4 linked regions of the Schizosaccharomyces pombe genome follow. Changing the gene in region 1 together with any one later gene gives a genetic interaction. Each region holds a gene or a part of one and is shown in the gene's direction. Other genes may lie near its edges. The genes, in order: ras1, ral2, ste4 and pob1.

The links.
Region 2: of ras1 (region 1) and ral2, changing one suppresses a phenotype caused by changing the other (phenotypic suppression), as found in Schizosaccharomyces pombe (2 studies listed by BioGRID).
Region 3: of ras1 (region 1) and ste4, changing one suppresses a phenotype caused by changing the other (phenotypic suppression), as found in Schizosaccharomyces pombe (one study listed by BioGRID).
Region 4: of ras1 (region 1) and pob1, changing one suppresses a phenotype caused by changing the other (phenotypic suppression), as found in Schizosaccharomyces pombe (one study listed by BioGRID).

What each region holds. Positions count from the first base shown.
Region 1 is NC_003424.3:2,017,838-2,022,512, reverse strand, and holds ras1 (GTPase Ras1), read left to right. Parts: upstream 1-1,881; 5' UTR 1,882-2,024; coding exon 2,025-2,030; exon of another isoform or gene 2,031-2,101; coding exon 2,102-2,755; 3' UTR 2,756-3,051; downstream 3,052-4,675. Other genes in the region: protein Ddb1, read left to right, coding at 1-1,289; leu5 (coenzyme A transporter), read right to left, coding at 3,164-4,144. UniProt on the Schizosaccharomyces pombe protein: Participates in the process of sexual differentiation and the determination of cell shape. Essential for mating and for recognition of the mating pheromone, but not for vegetative growth. Does not regulate the intracellular cAMP level.
Region 2 is NC_003423.3:3,218,855-3,224,753, reverse strand, and holds ral2 (Ras1-Scd pathway protein Ral2), read left to right. Parts: upstream 1-2,416; 5' UTR 2,417-2,572; coding exon 2,573-4,408; 3' UTR 4,409-4,410; downstream 4,411-5,899. Other genes in the region: serine/threonine protein kinase SIN pathway Cdc7, read left to right, coding at 1-339, 381-515, 552-1,973; mediator complex subunit Med8, read right to left, coding at 4,411-4,885, 5,023-5,150; SPOM_SPBC21.03C (EVE domain (PUA-related) protein, implicated in tRNA metabolism (possible RNA binding domain associated with tRNA methyltransferases)), read left to right, coding at 5,807-5,899. UniProt on the Schizosaccharomyces pombe protein: Essential for mating and for recognition of the mating pheromone, and for the determination of cell shape. Implicated in activation of the ras1 protein.
Region 3 is NC_003424.3:1,294,395-1,298,964, reverse strand, and holds ste4 (MAPK cascade adaptor protein Ste4), read left to right. Parts: upstream 1-2,421; 5' UTR 2,422-2,454; coding exon 2,455-2,551; intron 2,552-2,709; coding exon 2,710-3,407; 3' UTR 3,408-3,649; downstream 3,650-4,570. Other genes in the region: protein Utp8, read right to left, coding at 1-1,575; SPOM_SPAC1565.03 (uncharacterized protein), read right to left, coding at 3,982-4,482. UniProt on the Schizosaccharomyces pombe protein: Essential for mating and meiosis.
Region 4 is NC_003423.3:4,386,538-4,393,075, reverse strand, and holds pob1 (Boi family protein), read left to right. Parts: upstream 1-1,913; 5' UTR 1,914-1,922; coding exon 1,923-2,054; intron 2,055-2,249; coding exon 2,250-4,733; 3' UTR 4,734-5,280; downstream 5,281-6,538. Other genes in the region: vma10 (V-type ATPase V1 domain subunit G), read left to right, coding at 466-468, 516-554, 602-644, 688-788, 845-985; Ran GTPase Spi1, read left to right, coding at 5,760-5,885, 6,071-6,257, 6,392-6,538. UniProt on the Schizosaccharomyces pombe protein: Has a role in cell elongation and separation.

The sequences.
Region 1 (4,675 bases):
ATGAGTCAGATAAATTGGTAATTACACCACTTTCTTGTACGGAAATGTTGAATATATCTTCTTATGTGAACCCTTCCTTAGGAGTAAATATGCTTTATTGCACTAATAGTTATATATCTCTTGCTAAAATGAGTGAAATTCGAAGCTTAAATGTTCAAACTGTTTCTGTCAAAGGGTTTCCGCGGAGAATTTGTTCAAATTCGTTGTTTTACTTTGTCTTATGTATGCAACTAGAAGAGTCGATTGGTACACAGGAGCAACGTTTATTGTCTTTCTTGAGAGTTTACGAAAAAAACACTTTAAGTGAGATTGCTCATCATAAGTTTAATGAATATGAAATGGTTGAAAGTATCATTTTAATGAATGATGATAAACGTGTGGTTGTGGGCACAGGTTTCAACTTTCCAGATCAAGATGCCCCAGATTCAGGCCGTTTAATGGTCTTTGAGATGACTTCCGATAATAATATCGAAATGCAAGCTGAACATAAGGTCCAGGGATCTGTGAACACTTTAGTTCTGTATAAACATTTGATAGTCGCCGGCATTAATGCCAGTGTCTGTATTTTCGAATATGAACACGGTACTATGCACGTAAGGAATTCTATTAGGACACCTACTTATACGATCGACATTTCCGTTAATCAGGACGAAATCATCGCAGCAGATTTAATGAAGTCTATTACCGTTCTACAATTTATTGATGATCAACTAATAGAAGTTGCCAGAGACTATCATCCATTGTGGGCAACATCCGTTGAAATTTTGTCAGAAAGAAAGTACTTTGTAACTGAAGCAGATGGCAACGCAGTGATTCTTTTGAGAGACAATGTCTCTCCTCAATTGTCCGATAGAAAAAAGTTACGTTGGTACAAAAAGTTCTATCTTGGTGAATTGATAAATAAAACTAGGCACTGCACATTTATAGAACCACAGGATAAATCCCTTGTCACACCACAGTTGTTATGCGCAACAGTTGACGGCAGCCTCATGATTGTGGGTGATGCCGGAATGTCTAATACTCCTTTGTTACTACAGCTGCAGGATAACATTAGAAAAGTTATACCTTCGTTTGGAGGCTTGAGTCATAAGGAATGGAAAGAGTATCGAGGTGAAAATGAGACCAGTCCATCTGATTTAATTGATGGCTCTTTGATTGAGAGCATCCTTGGTTTACGTGAACCTATATTGAATGAAATTGTAAATGGTGGTCATGAGGGTACAAAGCTTGATATTTCTGTTCAAGATCTAAAAAGTATTATTGAAAATCTTGAGAAACTACATCCTTAACGTTTTCTATCAATTCTGTTTTTGCCGCTAGAATGTAATTTTAAGACTATATGCAATTATCAATGTCTCATTGTATATTTATAGCAAACGAAAATGTTTTTGAATGAAAATCTCCACTATCGTATCTCTTTCCACGGTCGATAAAACGCATGAAAGGAGTTTAACATATACAAAATAATATATGGTGCCGACCTCTTCATGCATGTATTGCGAACACTTGAGCAAAATTTTTAGAAGCTTTTTAATTTTAATAAAGAAATATTTAATGTTCAGTATAGAAAGTTCAAAAGCAATACTTAAATTTGCTGCTAATTTGGTTAAGTTGGGCTGAATAGGGAATTCTTCAAACAATACTTCGTATGCTTTTAAAGGTAGACAAAGCACTAATGCAATATATCTGTCAAATACAAATGGCAGAATTTTTGGTATTTTAATAGAAGATCAAATGTTTATTGATGGATTTAACATAATTAGCTGTTAACATTAATATTTCGTTTTTATTGCACCAGATACCTTTAAAAAATTATAACTTCTGAATTTCTTTATTACTAGCTTGTCGGTTTGCCATCAGTAATTGTTGACTGCATTACTTGAAAACTGCCAAACACATTTTAACGAGCTTAAGACCAACCAATATTTTTTAATTACCAAGCCTACACACTTTTTGTATTTTGTTTTAAAAGCAACCTAAAGAAATATACGATTAAACTTAGTGTGCTTTATAAAATAGTGAATATGAGGGTAAGTCTAAGCAATGACTTGGGGTTATCTTTTATTGATTACAACAAACTAATCAACGATAATATTTATAGTCTACCTACTTAAGAGAGTACAAATTGGTAGTTGTAGGAGATGGTGGTGTTGGTAAAAGTGCTTTGACAATTCAATTAATTCAATCGCATTTTGTTGACGAATACGATCCTACAATCGAAGATTCATATCGGAAAAAGTGTGAAATTGATGGTGAAGGTGCGCTTTTAGATGTATTGGACACGGCCGGTCAAGAGGAATATTCCGCTATGCGTGAACAATATATGAGAACCGGAGAGGGTTTTTTATTAGTTTATAATATTACCTCTCGGTCCTCTTTTGACGAAATTTCTACATTTTATCAACAAATCCTTAGAGTTAAGGATAAGGATACATTTCCAGTCGTTTTAGTGGCTAATAAATGCGACCTTGAAGCTGAACGTGTAGTTTCAAGAGCTGAAGGCGAACAACTTGCAAAAAGCATGCATTGTTTATATGTTGAAACTTCGGCGAAGCTAAGGTTAAATGTAGAAGAAGCTTTTTATAGTTTGGTTCGCACGATCCGTCGCTATAACAAATCAGAAGAAAAAGGTTTTCAGAATAAGCAGGCCGTCCAGACTGCCCAAGTTCCAGCTTCAACTGCTAAAAGAGCTAGCGCTGTAAATAACAGTAAAACCGAAGATGAGGTTTCAACTAAATGTTGTGTTATATGTTAGCAAGTATTATTGCAGAATATTTGAGCTGTTTGGTGAATGCACCGTTCCTGTCTTTTGTTTCATCTCTTTCTTTTCATTTCAATAATTGTTTTTTCATTTAACACAATTATTAGCAGCTATCTTTAAGTACTTCATTTTCCCTTTGAACCATTTGCACATCTAGTTTTGGCTGCTAGTATGATAGCAAATTATTCAATTCAGAGTTGTGGACTTAGAAAAAACGTGTTATTTGACTTTGGGTTGCTATTTCTTGTTCCGTTTTAATAAAATACATCTCTTTCATTGCATGGTCACGATGTAACAATCTGCAACTAATGAATATATCATACACCTATAATCCCGTAGATCTTTTTTTATAAATTTTTAAAAAAGGGATAATTTTTTTCATAGAAAACTATGTCTGCAGTCTCAATCTATCCCTAAAAGCGCTTTGCTGTGATTGTAAACAAAAAAGCTAGTGCTTACCATTGGGATAACCTTAATGTAACCTATGGTAAGTCCAACGAAAAAACCTCTCATACCGGCTTCTTTGTAAGTAGTTTGTACTACCTGCTTAAGTCTAAGAAATGATTTATTTTTTCTGATACCACCAATTTGCATTTTTCGTCGACAAACTTCGAATGGGTAAGAAACCGTTTGACCACAAACTCCTGCAAATGCTCCACAAAGTAGTTCGGGCCAAGTTTTAAGTTTTTTATCTGACTTTTTTGTAGAAACCCATTCGTCAATTTTTTGTTTATGAAAAAAATCAGTTGCAAGATCGTAGGCAAGAAACGACATACCAGCATATGGAAAGATTCCAGTTAACGTAACAGAAAATCCACGATAAAAATTACAGATTTTTGACAAACGGGATAACCCAGGATACTTCTTATTGCACAAAAAATCACGTTCGTGAAATATATCTTTTGTAACTTGAGTTAGGGTAGGATTCTTCCCTGTATTGGTTATGTAGGCTAAACGAACACGAATCAGCTCTAACGGGTATGTAAAAAAAACAGAGCAAGTTCCGGCAAGTGATCCTGATAAAAATCGCCGAGCATGTGTTTCATGTTCAGGGTCACGAATTAAAACACGCCGTACTTGTTCGTATGCAACAAATTTAATGCCCGCATAAGGGAAGACTCTGTATAAAGTAGCAGTGTGGCCTTGATAAAGACCGTGTAAGCCATAGACGTGGTAAATGTGTTTGATAGCCTTATAAAGCCCATGCCGTGAATAAGCATACCCTCGATAAGAAGCGTGATTGGTTTGGTAAAGGATTTTCACTCTATCTAATGGGGCAACTACTGATTTTGCAACGCATCCAGCTGTACCACCAGCAATTCCAGATTTGACTAAGAATTCCCATGAATCCTTTTCCGGATATTGGGCAGTTGAGTTAGGCATGTAGAATCCCTGAAAGTGTTTAAGTTAAATAAAGAGGGGATTAAAAAGATAAATGGAAGGACAAAACTTTTCGTACCAAATGCCTAAACATAAAAAAATTGTTAAAACTGAACGTTTTCAACTTCTTACTACAAACAAAATTACATGTAAATAAGATTTAGCATCAAATGTCCAAATATCTTGGATCAATAACAGTGATTGAAGGAACACGAGAACACTTATAGTAGTAGCAAACAGTAATCTGAATAGAAAACACTTCAGATTGTCCAACAAGATTACCTATAAAGCAATCAATTATGCTTTTGAAAGAAAATGAAAGTATCTTTTAGCTTCTGTTAGAATTCCAGTAAGCCCATAGGTAAGGTAAAAAAAAGGCTGTAATTTAACAAATATATTTGTAGGCTAATAATAAAGGATCAAAAGAAAACCAATCCGTTGCTAAAAAATAAAAAATTAAGCCCCTGAGTATCCCAATAATAAATAAAGAAAGGCACTCCTAATGCTCAAATAATTGTTGAGTTGCCGATTTTT
Region 2 (5,899 bases), on another chromosome or scaffold:
ATACCAGACGGAATTGAAAAATTTGTCGAGACACCCAGAGATAGTGAATTTACTGATATTTTCCCTACATCCTCAATCAAAGTTCAAGGATTGAGAAAGGAGACTGGACTGGGGACTTTGGTTTTAAACAAATGTTATGGCTCGTGGAATAATGAAGAAAATGAGGATGGGGAAGAATCGGATATCTTTGACTCTATTGAAACAAACTTAGAAAACTTGGATATTGAAAACAACATTGCTTTAGATAAGAGAACGCATCTAGCTTCCTTACTTTCCAGTCTGTTAGGCTCACTACGTGACAAGAATATCGGATCGAAGGATACAACTGTTTCGCAAATAGTAAGTGCATATTTTTATATTGATAATTTAACTGACAATAGGCTTCTATACTTAGTGAAGATCTTTCTCTAAAACGAGAGATAATACAAGCGCATGGTATCCTTCCACTTTTAGAGACATTGCGCGAAATAAAAACGCCTGATGTTCAATTGCTGTTATTAAAGCTCATTAACACTGTAAGGATATTTAATGCGTGATTTTACTAACGTTAGGTTGCATTCGATGATCACACAACTTTACAAAAAGTTTGCTTTGCTGGAGGTTTACCGCTTATGTTGTCATTCTCTAATCGTGAACACTCTTTTGAGTTTAGATATGAAAGTGCTATCTTTATTCAACAGATGTATAGAACTTCTGCTTTGACATTACAAATGTTTTTGAGCTCAAATGGTCTGAATTCGCTTTTATTATTTATTAAAGAGGACTATGGAACGAACCGTGACTTTGTTTTTGTTGGCGTAGAAGGAATATGGAAATTACTGAGACAACAGGATTACATTCCAAAAAATGATATCTGTACGATGGTTGTAAATGATTCACTAGAGCCCTTGACCAAAGCCATGCTGAAAGCTTTGGCTACTGACGATGATTCTTCAAGAATGTCATTAACACGTATATGTGAAATTTTATTGGCTTTATCTCAGGCTGATAATTATGTTAAGGAATCACTTCTTTGCGAAAGTGCTCTTCGAAGGATATTGCGTATTCTGCTTTATCTGCCGCATTCTGATATGGCGATTACCTTACAGTTTTTCAAGCAACTTTCAATGGTTCCTTCATCTTTGTCGCTTCTTAGGAAAGTTCATATAATACCTCTTTTGACACATATTCTCGGTGACAGCAAAATTGAGAAAGGACGAAAAGAAATTAGAAGCGAAGCTTTGGCCGCTTTATTCAATGTGTGTAAGCTAGATAAGAAATCGCAAGAAGAGGCTGTTATTTCTGGTGCTATTCCATTATTGCAAGAGGTGATTATTAAAGACAGACTGTTTAAGGAGTTTGCGCTGCCGATATTATTAGCTTTGCCACAGGCTGGTCCAGTGTCGAGAATTTATCTTTGGCAAAATAAATGCTTAGATTTTTTTCTCTCGTTATTATCAGATCTTAATTGGCAATCTGCGGTATTTGATACGATCGCATCTTGGTTGCAGTTTGAACTCCGTGAAGTACAACGTGTTTTGGCAGAGAAGAGAAACGTACAATTAGTGTTAAAGGTGTTCTGTATTTCTCAATCAGCTTCCTCAAACAGAATGCTAGATACTTTGGGCAGGGTTTGTCAAATTTCCCCAAGATTGGCAGCCTCTTATGGCCAGCCTATAATATTCCAGAAATTTAAAGAAAAGTTAACTCATAAGGGGACCAAGCCGATTGTGGTCCTAAACATATTTCAAATTATGAAATCAATGTGTGAAGCTAGTAGCCAAAGTGTTGCTTATATTGCGCATTGTGGTTTACCAGATGTGGTTGCAAATTTGAACCAAACAAGTGATTCTGTGCTTGTTAAAGAACTAGCAAAAGACCTGCTGAAATACCTGAAGGTACCACAGGGTCCCATCAATGAGCACAAATCCCCCATTTCGAAACCGCATATGCCTCCACCTAGATGGCAACCAAAGCAGCCATTAACGCAGTGAACACTATTAAACGCATTTCCCAGTGCACGACTATATTACTTGTTTATGATATTTCTGTATTTATGGCTTAATGATTAATAAATAAGGTTGGGATTATGGAATCAATATTTTTTAAACGAAAGTTTTGCTAATTTTAATATTAATATATTATCATTCCATGTGTAAGTACGTTACCAGTTGTGTTTATACCTGAAATACAATCTAATTGAGTACCGCAATGAAGACTATTTATTTACCGAATCTATATTGATGAATCTTAGAAACGTTAAGAGAAAGGTTTATAATATGCTTATCACAGTGTATATTTATATTTATTCATTCAAGTGCTTCGAATTTTAAAATCTAGGTGTGCATAAAAGTTAACTTCACTATATCAGTTAACGCTACGATAGTGCAATACAGGAAGAAATATGCACTAAAACAAAAGGACAACAATGATTTTTATGCTTCTCATTTTTGGCTATTAATTTGCTGCTTTGTTTATTGCATAAATCTTTTTTGACTGTTTGCATTTCAGTAATTATTAATTTTTATGTGGAAGGAAAAATCACTTTTTTGATATTTCTTATTAACGTCGAGTTGCTAAACAGTTTATATCTATGTCAGAAGTAAAAAGGAATATATCTTTGAGAAATTCAACAAACATTTTTACTTCTACATTTAGTTTATCTTCAAATAATGTCCCAAAACCGCTGATTGGGGAGTCAGTTATAAAATATGGAGACGAGGCTTTTGTATATGGAGGACGCGATGCATTAAATGCGCAGCTTGTTAATGATATGTATGTAGTTGATCTTAACACTTGTTCCTGGAAGCAAGTTGAATATCAAGGAAATCAAAAGCCGATACCACGGTATTTCCATTCAGGGGATTTATGGAATAACAAATTAATATTCTTTGGTGGTATGGGATTTAATGATGATACAAAATGTCTTTATGTTCTTAACGACATCGACATATATGATATTGAGACTAAGCAATGGTCTCATATACCTGGCATGATAACAGAGAATCAGACAAATGACGATGCTAAAGAAGTCAATGGATCTGATGTTGATGAAAAAAGCAAACACTTATATCCATCAGCACGTTACGGACATTTGCATTGCGTGTTAGATCATTATCTTATTATATTTTGTGGGCAAGATTTATCAAACAGCTATATTGAAGAGATAAATATTTTTGACCTGGATTCGGGAAAATGGGTTTTTAAATCCCTGTTCAATCATCACTGTGGTATATACAGATCGAATTGTGTGGTAATAAACAAAGATAGTGAATTTTTACAGATGTGTCGACCAATTAATACAACTCAGGATTCTAATGAGCACTCTATCGGTTCTTTGTTTTTTTATTTAAATTACAATTTTGTCAATGTTAAGAGGCAAGTAATATACTTGGAATTATTTGAATTAGATACTGCCGAAAGTGAAAAAAAATCAGCCGCTTTGGCAAAAGATAATAACCAATCTTTCCGTTTCCTAGAGCTTGATGTTACTGAAAAATTCTTAAGTTCAGCAATGCCGCCGGGACTAAGGTTTCCTGCTGTTAACATACTTGGAGACAACTTAATATTATCTGGAATCTACCTTACGAGCTCCAGACAGGCATTCGTGCTTTGGGTCTATTCTCTTGACAAGGAGCTTTGGTTGCAACTCGATATGCTGGGTGTTTTAAACCATGGATCGTGGTTCAAATGTCTAGTCTTAGATTGTACGAATAGGTTTGTGGTTTTTGGAAACAAAACTAGGAAACTTACCCAAGATTATAATTTGCGACAATCAAATTACGATCACATAGTTTTTATTGAGTTAGAAGGATATGGTGTATACAGAAAGCCGCAAATGGGGAGAGTTACGGAGCGATCTGAACAGTTGGGTAAACTACTGTTGAACGGTATAAGTGATATGGAAATTTTGACAATCGAGCGCATGCACATCCCTTGTTTATCGAGAATGCTTTACAAGAGATGGCCTGCATTTCAAAAAATTATGGATCGAGCAGTTGAAAAAAATCAGGAAGCTTTTCAAGCTGAGGTTTCTCAACTGGGTCCTCAGTTAACAGACCTGCCATTCAGTTCTATTCATAGCACAGGAAGCAGGGCGTTGTATATGCCTTATTCATTTGAAACGTGTTCCGCTTTTTTGCATTACATATATTGTGGGACATTAAACGGATCTTATTGTACTGCCAAAAATCTATGTAATCTCCTGATCCTTTGTAAAGGTTTTGAGGGCTTGGAAACCTTTTTTGCCTATATTGTGCATCTCCTCCACGGTGTGCTTAATCGAAATAACGTTAAATTAATTTATGAGACTGCCGCTTTGACGGGTGCAAAAGGTTTGCAATTACGCGCTTTACGTCGTATTGCTCGAATTGAACAAGGAGGCACTGCAATCTCACCCACTTCTCCACTTCCAAACTTAGATGATTAACCTTAACGTTTACCTGATTTCATGAATGATAGTATGTCTGTTAACATTTGATTTGCATTTTGTTCCTCCGTAGCTCTATCAATCTCTAGTTGTCGCTGGCTCACAAACTCTCCTTCTGATTCCTGCCTTCGGGTTACAAAATCAAACCAGCTATAATTTTCTCGTTCTTCCATAAATATGATTCTTGCTTGGTCCCATAATTGGTCCTTTTGATAGGCGTCGTTAGCCTCTTTCTTTTTAGGTTGTGATGATATAGATGCTTCATATTCTTGAAGGGTATTTGCCTCCCATTCTTCTACTTCAGGGAGAGCTTTTGTTCGGAGTAGGGTGGTCAATAATGGCTCTTGTTCTTTAACTGGGAATTCAAGAGACGGGTATATGCTAGTTGTTTGAAGAGTGTGAGAATGAGCTGCTAAATTATTACTTAAAGAATGAATTTGAGACAGCAAAATGTTGAAGTTTTTATGTATCGTAGGCCTGTGTATAAATATTAGTAGGGTTGAAATACAAATGATTACAGATCCGTTTTCTTCGTATATCTTTAACTTAGAATAATGGAGCTATCACTTTTATCCTCAAAAAATAAAATTAAGAACATTCATTTGTGCACATACCATGGTGAAAGAGATTCGCTTTGATGAAGAATTGCAAGAAAATGAGTTAACGATTGAACAATTTGTGCTATTCTATGTCGGATTGCTTCCAAAGATTCCACTGTTTTTTCGGTAGATATGTCTTCCATTTTTTTTTAAGCTTGCTAATCTATTCACAATTTCAACACTTAATGAGTATTCGAGCGTTAAAACTCGAATAACAACACCTCAAAATATATATGTAATCGTTTAATATCTAACGGAAAAGAAGTTGAGCTTTTTCTTTATCCTAAAACTTGTTACAATAGGAATAAATTACAATTCATATGTGTGTTCGTGGTATGCAATACCTCATATTTTACTTAAGGCAGAATAATATGAGTTCGTAAACGTTTTAGAAAATACGTTCCAGCTGTTTAATGTATACATGGTTATTCATATCGTTCAATAGTTTTAATGTCTATGAAATCTATATGATATTTAATCTCATAAACTACTTAAATAAAATTGTCACAAAAGTGGAACTTCGGGTAGCGTAAGTAGCTATAAATGCTCCAACGTTTTAGATTTCTAATATAGAAAGATAGCAACTAATACTTTACTTTGTTTCAAAATGCCGAAAAAATATTTGGTACGTCTTAATTTAGTAAAACGGAATTCTGGCTGTCGAAACATTAGTGTGTCTAAGACATCCACTTGAAATTATAACACTAACTCCCATCATTTAACTTAACAACCTTCATACGTACGTAATTATATTTAACTTAACATTTTTTTACATTTTGGTTTCTAAAGAATAGGCGCAATGACCGAAGATGCAGAAAAGAGGCGTTATTGGCTTATGAAGGCCGAAGGAGAGCCTAGATATGTAAAAGGCATAAACGTAGCTTTTACATTT
Region 3 (4,570 bases), 720 kb from region 1:
ACAACTGACCTGAAGCTCATTTTCCTCATCAAGGGAAAACAAGAGACTTTCAATTGCATGAGCAAATGGAATAGGAAGCACACTGCTTGTTTTAAGAATTTTGCAATTGTTGGCATACTGATTCTGGTATCGTTCGACAACACCTAGGAACTTAGCATCAAACTCTATGGTATTTTTTTGTTCAGCTAAGGAACGCAAGGAAATTAATTCATCACGAAGTGAATGATCTTGCAACTGTATATTTTTCAATAGTTGGTCACGCATCGAAGGACCATTTTTAGATTTTGTTAAAACTCCTTCGCCGATGAGTTCATTGGTTCCGCGTAGCTTTCCGATTTTTGAAGTACGTTTACCAACTGCATCGGCAAGAAGCATTTTTATCGGCAATGTATATGGTACAATGGCCAGTCCCTTCTTTAATAATACAGCAATGTATCCAGTTAATTGGGAGTTTTGATTCATTTTTTTTAAAGACGACTTATAACAGGTAAAAGTGAGAATCGTGGGTTTCTGTTTCAAATCGTAAACATCTTGAATAGTTCCGAATGTTATGTCCCATAAAGATAGTTGACTATCATGTTGAATTAACAAAAAATTATCCGAAATAAGCTCTATGTGTTCAATTTTCGATATGCTTTGGAAATGAAGAATTTTAATAAGCATATAAGATTTGGACTCATCATGAAGTGAGTATATGGATAGCCCTTCGAGGGAAATCGTATATATACTTGTAGAGTCTTTAGACATCAGAATGTGCGAAGGAGCCTGAACTTCCTTTAGAACCACAGCTCTCGTATTCACGAGACGTCTTTCAGAAACTGAAAAAGAATCTACATAATATTGTATAATTTTGTCGACATGTACACTATACAATAAATATACCATGGATGTGGATGAGGTGACATTAGCGCTAAAACTGGTAGACCCTGACTTTGGTACTGAAGAAGTTGTGTCGCTGTTCATCTCGATTTCCTTTGGATTATTATTAGTGCCACTTGCTTCGTTAGATGCTAATCGTACAGCATCAATAGGATTTGCTTGTGAAGGAACATACATTGATTGAAGCAATGTGGCTGATTCGTTAACGGAGGCACTCATGTGAACTTTGTCATCTTCGGGATCGAGAAACGCAATTTTTCCGTTTCGAAATACAATCACTAGTTGACCAGTTGACGAGATGAAATGAAGAGCAAATATTTGTTGGTTGGAAATATCACGATATACAACTTCGCTTTCCTCCTCGAGGTCGTTGAACTTCCAAAGAAGTATTTTCCATTCCCCATTACTTTTAAGAGAGGTGCAGGTCCAAATATAATGCCAATTTCCTTCTTTAATGTAGATGGGTGAGCAGGAAAACCGTGTCTTCTCAGGTAGAGGACATGAAGCGAATAAGCGTTCATCCTTCATATGATAAACTTCAATTCCCTGATTTTCCACTTGAACACATATATAATAAGGAGATTCAACTCCGTTATCCAAAGCAACCGTGCCAGCACTCTGAATTTCATGCTTTTTATTCGATTTATGAATATTCGAAATTTCGCTGAGAAACGATAGTTCACCAAAAGAAGCCATTTTTACTTTAAGTTTAAACACAATTTTCTGAAACTGTGAAAATTGGCAAAATAAGCGTTTCTGAGGTTCAAAAGTTTCACACAGCACTCGGTGGAGATGAAGAGAAGAAGTTACAAAAAAAAATAATTCCTACACAGCTTTGACCTCCACAAATACTAACGAAAATAGGAATTATTGATCAGTAAAATTAAATTAAAGTATTAGAAGCAATGGTTGTTCGACGCTTGTTTTCCACTGGAAAATTTGCGTTCTTACATTCGAGTGCGGTATATCTCGTTATGATACATAAAAACTTTTTGCTCTCAAGTGCTATAACAAAACAACTTTTATTATTTAGTTTTGTCAAATAAGAAAAACAGAATTTTTTTTGTAAACTACTCTTTGTACAACAATGCTACAAAAAATTCTCTTCTCGATTGGGTTTTTTTGCTTTGAGCTTTATTCATACTTGGACAACGTACCGATGTTTGATATCAATTGTGCCTTTATTCTGTGAACTTGAAACTCTAAATTTATTGTTTACCAATTTTTCTAATATAATAGGGATAATAAAACTTTTCTTTAATAAGTGAAAAAAACTGGGCAAGTCAAATTAGCATCGGCATACATGCTCTTGTTTACGTCCCATAATTTACAGATTTTATAGCTAATCCAAATTCAAAGTCCCAAATCACATCCAAAATCACTTTTCCAATAAGATTTAAGGGTCTTATTTTTTATCATTTTTTATGCTGATTTTTGATATTGTATTTAAATTTGCATATCCACTAACTTTTGGTAAATGAGTATGCTTTCTTTGTTATAAAAGTAGTGGGCAGGTCAGCATCAGAAGCATATATATTAACTACGCCCTTTACATTGCTATCCTAAGCAAAATTAATGGGAGATTCTGACGATTTTTATTGGAATTGGAACAATGAAGCAGTTTGCAATTGGATAGAACAGCTTGGTTTTCCCCATAAAGAAGCGTTTGAAGGTATGTATGCATAACAGAAGTTTAATTCAAAGAATTATTTGCTCGCCTCTCATTAATCCTTATTGAATGCTCTTTCTTTTATAGTCAATGGGGGATTGGGAACAATGAGTTTCTCCAAAGTTGGTTCAATTTCATGGCAATTTACTAAGAATTTCTAGACTACCATATTCTTGGAAAAGACATAGACCTGTTAAGTTCAAATGATCTTCGAGACATGGGAATTGAGAGTGTGGGCCATCGTATTGACATTTTATCAGCAATACAGTCAATGAAAAAGCAGCAGAAGGATAAACTGCAGCAAGAAAATAAGGATCAAGAACTGAAAAATATAGAAGAGTCTTACAAGAAGCTAGAGGAAAAAACCGAACATTTATCAGATGACAATGTCTCTTTAGAAAAACGTGTGGAATACTTGGAAACGGAAAACACTAAATTGGTAAAAACACTAAACTCTTTGAACTCGGAATTTCTTCAGTTACTAAGAAAAATTGCCATAAATGTTAAGGAAGGAAGACAGCTTACTACCGAAAATTCATCTGACACTAGTTCGATGACTCACCCTGTTCAGCCTTCACCATCTGTTCTTGGAAGTTTTGATTTAGAGGTTAATGATTCTTTGACAAACGCGGAGAAAAACAGAAAATTAAATGTGAACTTAACCTACAATGAAGTGTTATGCTCCATGTTGCAACGATACCGAATCGATCCAAACACTTGGATGAGCTATGATTTGCTTATAAACTACGATGATAAGGAGCATGCCATACCTATGGATGTAAAGCCACTTCAACTATTTCGAAACCTACAAAAGAGGGGAAAGTCGCCTTCTTTTGTTTTATCTCGACGCTCTTGTTAACTAAGCTTTTTAAAAGCCATCTATTTATGAATTGAATTTAATGAATAGTTTTCAATTTTTTTAATGACTCATTTGCAGATATTTAAGTTATTTTACTTACGCCTTGGTATGTTTATCAGTATTTAAAGATGGATTGATTTTTTTAGCCGTACCTCCTAATATTCTATCTAATATTCTATCTAATATGCTTAAAATATATATTTTTTTTTTTATTCATGGGGTATGCCCTAAGGTTTATTAATATGATATAAATGAATCTATGGAATGTATTAAGACAATGAAAATGAACCATGTAATATAATAACAGAAAAAATTAAACATTAAATTTTAACATGCTTCAACAGGAAATGAAATGACAAAGAAGGTTAACAGCCTAAAAAAAAAATTGAAGCGTGATTAGAAATTTTTAGAAAAAAATTGTGGTTTTTTAATGAATTTGAAACCAATGATATATGCAATATGTGAAGTTCGTAAATAAGGCGCAAAATTATGCCCCGAAACGTAGTTTACTCCGTCAATAAAATATTCATCATGTTGTACTACGCTTATTTTTGTAAGCTATGTATTAACAATTTCAGACAATGCAACATGCGTTGGGTTGCTTGGAGTACACGGTGGTATACCGAAATTTGGAAGGAGACAAGTAACTCATGTTAGACAAGCTTTGTAGAAAAACACGCATTTTTGGCTGAAACCAAATTAGTTCCTTTTCGCTTGATTCGGAAGATGAATAAAAATTTGGCTGGGGTTTTGATCCCGTATGCCTATTAACAAATTTAATTTCATCATTTGTTGGTGGAGTCAGTACTTTTGATAATTTTCTACGCTTAGAGAAATGTTCATTTTTTTTTTTCTTTGAGAAAAAACGAAAATCAATTTCAAGGATTTCATCTGACTGATTTAATTCATGGACATTAAAACTGAAACAGTCGGAATCCCGTATAGAGCCGGTAGATAAATCAGAAAGTCTAGATTCCGATGCCAAAGTAGAAGCGAAAAGAATTGAACTTGAAGAGGACGATTCACTAGAAAATGTAAATCTGCTAGGTAGGTCGGAAAGTGATAAGACGGACATTGAATATAAATAAAAAAGTGTGAAGCCAGAAGGCTACGTATATATACCCATTATTGTATTCACAAATTTGGAGGTTGAATTTGGATAT
Region 4 (6,538 bases), on another chromosome or scaffold:
ATGCTTATATTTGCAAGGATGCTGTATACGCCGTAACAGCATTATTAGATGCACTTGTTAAATTCAGTGCTGCTCGAACGTACTATCATGTAATATTGTAAGATTCAAATGGTTTCTGCTATCTGTTTACTTACAGTTCTTGATCATATGCCTAAAAATGTAAAACAATACCGAATTTACTTATTAAGTTCCAGTTCACCTGAGCAAACAACGGCGCGTTGCCCAACAATTATAACCGAGGATAGTAAGAATCTGATTTTATTATATAGTATCCAAATTTAGGAGCAAACATTATTTCAATCAAAACATCGCATCTTACCATATCGTTAGCGAGTTTAAGAAGATACGGAATTAGTGGATAGCAGAGTAGATAGAGTACGTTACGGAGATCGAGTAGTTTATCAAACCAGTATTACTTCTTCGACCATAGACCCTTCCTCAAGTACGATTAAATTTACAGACATAATGGTAATTTGTATTTTTATTATAAGGAGCAATTTCTGACTTCTTTTTAGAGTGCTCAAACGAATTCTGGTATCCAACAACTTTTAGAGGTAAGTTCAGGTAATTCCAAGATCGTTATTTCTAATGAGATATGTAGGCTGAAAAAGTTGCTAGAAATATAGTCGAAAAGGCTCGCCAACGTAAGTTTAATCAATCGGAGCAACGTTTCTAAAAGATAAAAAGATCGCACTCAAAGATTGAAGGATGCACGTCTTGAGGCTAAACGCGAAATTGATGAATACGCTTCCAAGAAGGAAGAGGAATTCAAAAAGTCAGAAAGTCAGGTAAAGTTATTCAATACAGTTTTTAAGAGTTTGGACAATCAATTTTAACATATCAGGCTTCTGGTATATATAGTCAGGCTGAAGCGGAGAGCAAAAAGCAAGTCCAGGACACATTTGCAAGTATCGAGACAAGCTCCCAGAAGAACTCTGATAAAGTGGTTGATGCTATTTTATCTATAACTTGCAATGTTAAGTAAACTTACTGTTTATTACTAAATTTTTATATACACATTCTTACTATCCTCTGAAGGGAAAACTGTATTTGCAATTTTTAGCAATAAATCACTTTAACGGTAATCATCTAATATTCCCATACATGTATGAAATATTTGCAATTATTAGATCGTAAAGGGTATAGAATTCTGTCTGCGAGGGATGCTGTTAAATAATCATGCATTCAGATAGCTAATGATTCTTATTAAGCAAAATCATATAGTGGACTGTTGATATCCCAGGAATATGGTCAAATACGAGTTTAGCTCATTTTTTATTTTAGTATTGTGAAATATTAGCGAAGTTATCCAATAATTACCTTCAACCGTAGACGGACCTTGTATAAATAATAAGTTACCTGGTTAATACTCGATCGCATTTCCATAATACCTTTGTGGTAGATCAAGTCAATCGACCTCATTACACACGTGAATAAATAAATTAGATACATGTATTATAGTAACTATGCAATTGTCACCCTCATCGTTATACTAAGCGTATTTCAATGGAAACGTAAGCATAATCACAATTCTTAGTTCTTTGGTCCTTCATTTATTCGTTAATATACGAAGATGAGACATTCTATCCTTTGCCTTCAAACGTACCGACATGTATATTAGAAGAAATAAATAAAACACCTATTCAACACCTAATACTACTATTACCCCCACGTAAGTACTGGTTAAACCATGACTAGGTCAAAACACATTCTGCAACACTCTCCTAATGTAATATAACAGACTTGCAGATTTCAAAAAGCAAAGCCCCCACGAAGGTCGTCTTTCCCCACATAGATTATTATCGTTAAAGTGGGCTAAGCCAAACACGGTAAACACTGTTTTGCCAGCCATCAAGATTTAAGCCTTCGATTACAACACCGCATAACCACATAGCTGTGTTTTTTCTGCTTTTACCACAACTATGGCAAGTCAGCGGTTCGTGATTGCTTTGCATTCCTTTCCGGGGAAGAGTAGTGATGAACTTCCGTTGGTTGAAGGTCGGAAGTATCTGTTGATAAAGATGGATGAAGAATTTGGTGATGGTTGGTGGGAAGTAAGTATATAACTTCGAAGTCAAAATCCTATTATTTTTATTCCTGGTATATTTTATAATTTGAAGGATTCTTGATGCCTGCTTTGTACAGTTTTCCAATCCACATAAAGATGCAAACACTATATGTCAAAGTTGCATGCCCTTAGGATTGTGAAACCTTGATATATTTTTATCATACTAACTAAGTTTTAATAGGGAGAAGATGAACAGGGAAATAGGGGTATTTTTCCTGCTTCGCACGTAGAATTGATATCTGATGAGAGGTCTGACTCAAGTGATTCAAGAAGAGGCAAAGAAGATTTCTCCATTTCTACCGCGGAAGTCACAAGATCCTCTTTATCAAGCAGCCGGTCAACTTCTTCACGATCGGACAAGGACAGTGAAAAGTTGTATTCGAATAATTCCTTGTCTTCAAGTCACTCATCAATCTTAAACGGCCCCCTTGATAGTCTTTCGAAACCTTCGGTCCCTAGTAATTTTAACTCAATGTTTCCATCTTCTAAACAAGAAGGCCCTTCCCCTTTGTTGGATAACCAACCTTCCTCAGATCTATCAAACTTCAACACTATTGATGCCGATTATAATAATGCTTCTGCTTCTACTTCTGCTCCTGCTACTTCAGCAAGCTTGAAAAAGGTTTTGTCAGCTGAGGATTCCGTTAGAGAAACTATTACAGATATTGAAACAGCTTTACAGAATATGTCAACTTCAGCATCTCGTACTCCAAATGACAGTTCACCTTTGCCCTATATTGAAAATCGACCTGCATCCTCTCTTGCTGTTTCCGAAAAAATTCAAAATGTTCCTAACTGGTCTACGGAAGAGGTAGTTGAATGGCTTATGAATGCCGGCCTTGGATCAGTAGCTCCTAATTTTGCGGAGAATGAAATAACCGGTGAAATTTTATTAGGCTTAGATTCCAATGTTTTGAAAGAACTTAACATTACTTCTTTTGGAAAACGTTTTGAAGTTTTACGAAAGATCCAACAATTAAAAGATTCATACGAACAATCTTTATATGAAGAATATCCGCAGTTTGCTGAGCCTATTTCTGTTAGCCAAAGTTCTGATTCCTCCTCTTCTATTCCAAAAAAATCTAATGATGAAGCCGGCGGTTCACCATCAAAATCCAGTCCAACTCGTCCGGGATTTAACGATTATGTTAATCGTCCGACTAGTGTGATGCCTTCTTTGTCAAATATGATTGTTTCACCTGATTTGGACTCATCTCCATCTACCGATTGGAACCAATACGTGATTCCTCCTTTAGCCACACCAAGTTCGCGCAATTCTAAGTCTACGCAATCTGCGGTCCCTGAAAATGTATCTCGTTTTGATTCTAACGAACCTTCGGCCACATCACCGATATTAAAACGTTCATCCCCTACGGACTCAATTTCTCAAAATAGCGGTTTACCTTCTCGTCTTACTGAGCCCATCTCTTCTCCTTCTACCAGTAGCATTGATGTTGATAAGGAAGGAACTTCATTTCCTGGTTTACCTTATCATTCATCTAAGGGCAACTTGTATGCTCCTCAACCATCTTCTAACGTTCCTACTAAATTTACGGGCGGTGCATCGGAATCTTCTTCCGTACCTCCTAGACCTATTCCAAGTGCTATGAAAGGAAAAGCACCAGCTTCAGCTATATCTATCGAAGCTTTGGAAGAATTGGATCCTCCAAAGATTACTACTATTGATGGTGAAAGTCCTTCATCGATAAGTTCTCGACTCCCTAGTAGCAATCTCGAACAAGGGAGTTCAAGTTCTGTTACTAAGTCACCTGAATCAATGCCAGACCCATCAGCAAAAGCATCATCGCCTGTCACAAGCAAAGGGGTGTCCATAAACGAAAAATCCGCTGTTAATAATTATGCCACTCCTCTTTCAAAACCTCAACCCAAAGATACGAAGGGCTCAAAATTAGGAAATACTTTTGTTGCTCCATCTCCGGCTGCTTCCTTACCCGCTTCACCTCCAGTCGGCACTGAGTTAAAGACTCGTCCAACCCTTCGTTCTGTTGCTTCATCACCATTAAATAAAGAGCCAATAGGTAAACGAAAGTCGAAACGTGATATTTTTGGGAGACAAAAGGTTTTACCTACTGGAATTAGTGAAGGATTAAGTAATATACCTGCCAAAGAAGCAATTAAAACGGCGGACTGTCATGGTTGGATGCGGAAACGTAGTGATCGTTACGGTGTTTGGAAGTCTAGATACTTTGTATTAAAAGGAACAAGGCTTTCTTATTACCATTCATTAAATGATGCTTCAGAAAAAGGCCTAATTGATATGACTTCTCATCGTGTTACGAAAACCGATGACATTGTTCTAAGTGGAGGCAAAACTGCTATCAAGTTAATTCCACCTGCTCCAGGTGCCGCTAAAGCAGCAGTTATGTTCACTCCACCAAAGGTTCATTATTTTACTTGTGAAAATAATGAAGAATTACATCGTTGGTCTTCGGCTTTTCTCAAGGCTACTGTGGAACGCGATATGTCGGTACCTGTTTTGACAACGTCGAGAATGCCTACCATTTCACTTAGCAAAGCTAAAGAACTTCGTACTAGGCCTCCTTCTCTATTAATTGATGATGAAAATGAAGCAAATCTCACTTCTTCGATTGGATTAAAGAAGAATGCAAAACAAAAGAATAAGAAATCAAGCAAGCAAAAATAAATACCGACACTCCTCAAAATCCACAAAAGCAAAGTGCAACACATTCCAATTCTAAAACCTGCGCAACAGACCCTGTTCTTAGTATCTGGTTTTCCTTAATCTATTTTCAAACTAAATATCCCTTCAAAATTGAAAACATAGCTAATATGTTTGAATTTTAAATTCGTTGATGCTTTTACTGCGGACATATTTGACACCAATTTAAGAATTAACCGGGCATATTTGATACGCTCATTTCGATTCTGGTTTACCGACATTTACTAGCGGAAGCTATAGTATCTTCATCATGCACATATGGCTTATTTAACGTTGAATTATTTGCTTTTATCTTTTATTGCATAAATTTTTAAAAGCAAATGCATCATTCTATTAATTCAGCATTTTTTTACTGATAATTTTCATTTGTTTGTCGACTTCCTACCACTTTCGTTTGTTTTATTTTTAATCTTTATTTCGATCATTTCGATCCAGCTGAGTCCACGCTGGTAGCGGACCTGGATCATTGCAGAATTCGTAGGCCTTTTACTAGTGATACTAATATAGCTAATGAAAATTTAGAATGTTTGTTTTCTATGTATGGGCATTCCTGGCATTCCTTGGATTAGCAAATACGTTTTCTTGGCTGCGGTTTTTTATCTTTACATGCAATCAAAACCGTGTAGTGACGTCCAAAAAGTAAGCATTGGCTGCTTGTAAGTTGTGTATAAACCCAGAATGTATAAGCAAGTACGCACAAATGTAGCTTTTCGTAGAAGCAATTCTTTTTTGAAATTTCAAAAACGACACTATATCCATTTTTTGGCGATCAACTTCAATAAGAGCAATAGTCAAACTCGTTAAACAATTCGTTAAATCGGCATTAAAAAACTATACCATACACTCCCTTTTCTGTTAAATTCCAATCGACTATCAGGGTTAGGGTTTTGTTATACCCAGGTCTTTTATTCATATAAAAATTACGCACCACTAAAATTTTCCTTTAACCAAACTCTCAGTTAGTTTAGGTGCAACAGAGAAAAGTTTAGTATGGCTCAACCACAAAACGTTCCTACCTTTAAGCTTGTACTTGTCGGCGATGGTGGTACCGGTAAGACCACGTTCGTCAAGCGTCATTTGACTGGTGAATTTGAAAAGAAGTATATTGCAACTTTGGTACGTTTTATGATTTTACTTTATTAGAACAGTTTTTGTATACCGGAAACGATGCCTAGTATCGTAAATAAATGCCATCTTTTTATGAGACATACAGTTATCTGTACTCGTGCATCATCGGTTTTCAGTTACTCTTTTTATGCTTAGATCTTTCGTTTAGAAACAACAGTCTAACATATTTTTAGGGTGTTGAGGTCCATCCTTTGCATTTTCATACTAATTTTGGTGAAATTTGCTTTAATGTTTGGGATACCGCTGGTCAAGAAAAGTTAGGTGGCCTTCGTGATGGTTACTATATTCAAGGTCAATGTGGTATTATCATGTTTGATGTTACTTCCCGTATTACCTATAAGAATGTTCCCCATTGGTGGCGTAAGTGATATTTAAGCAAAAAAAAGCTTTAAATGTTTTTTTTGATACTCATAGACCGCTAGATTTAATGGTTATAAGTATATTGACATTAGCTTTTTTTGACTACTTTAATGAACATTACTAATCGAATGCAGGTGATCTTGTCCGTGTTTGTGAAAACATTCCCATTGTTCTTTGCGGTAACAAAGTTGATGTTAAAGAGCGTAAAGTCAAGGCTAAGGCTATCACTTTCCATCGCAAGAAAAACCTTCAATACTACGACATCTCCGCCAAGTCCAATT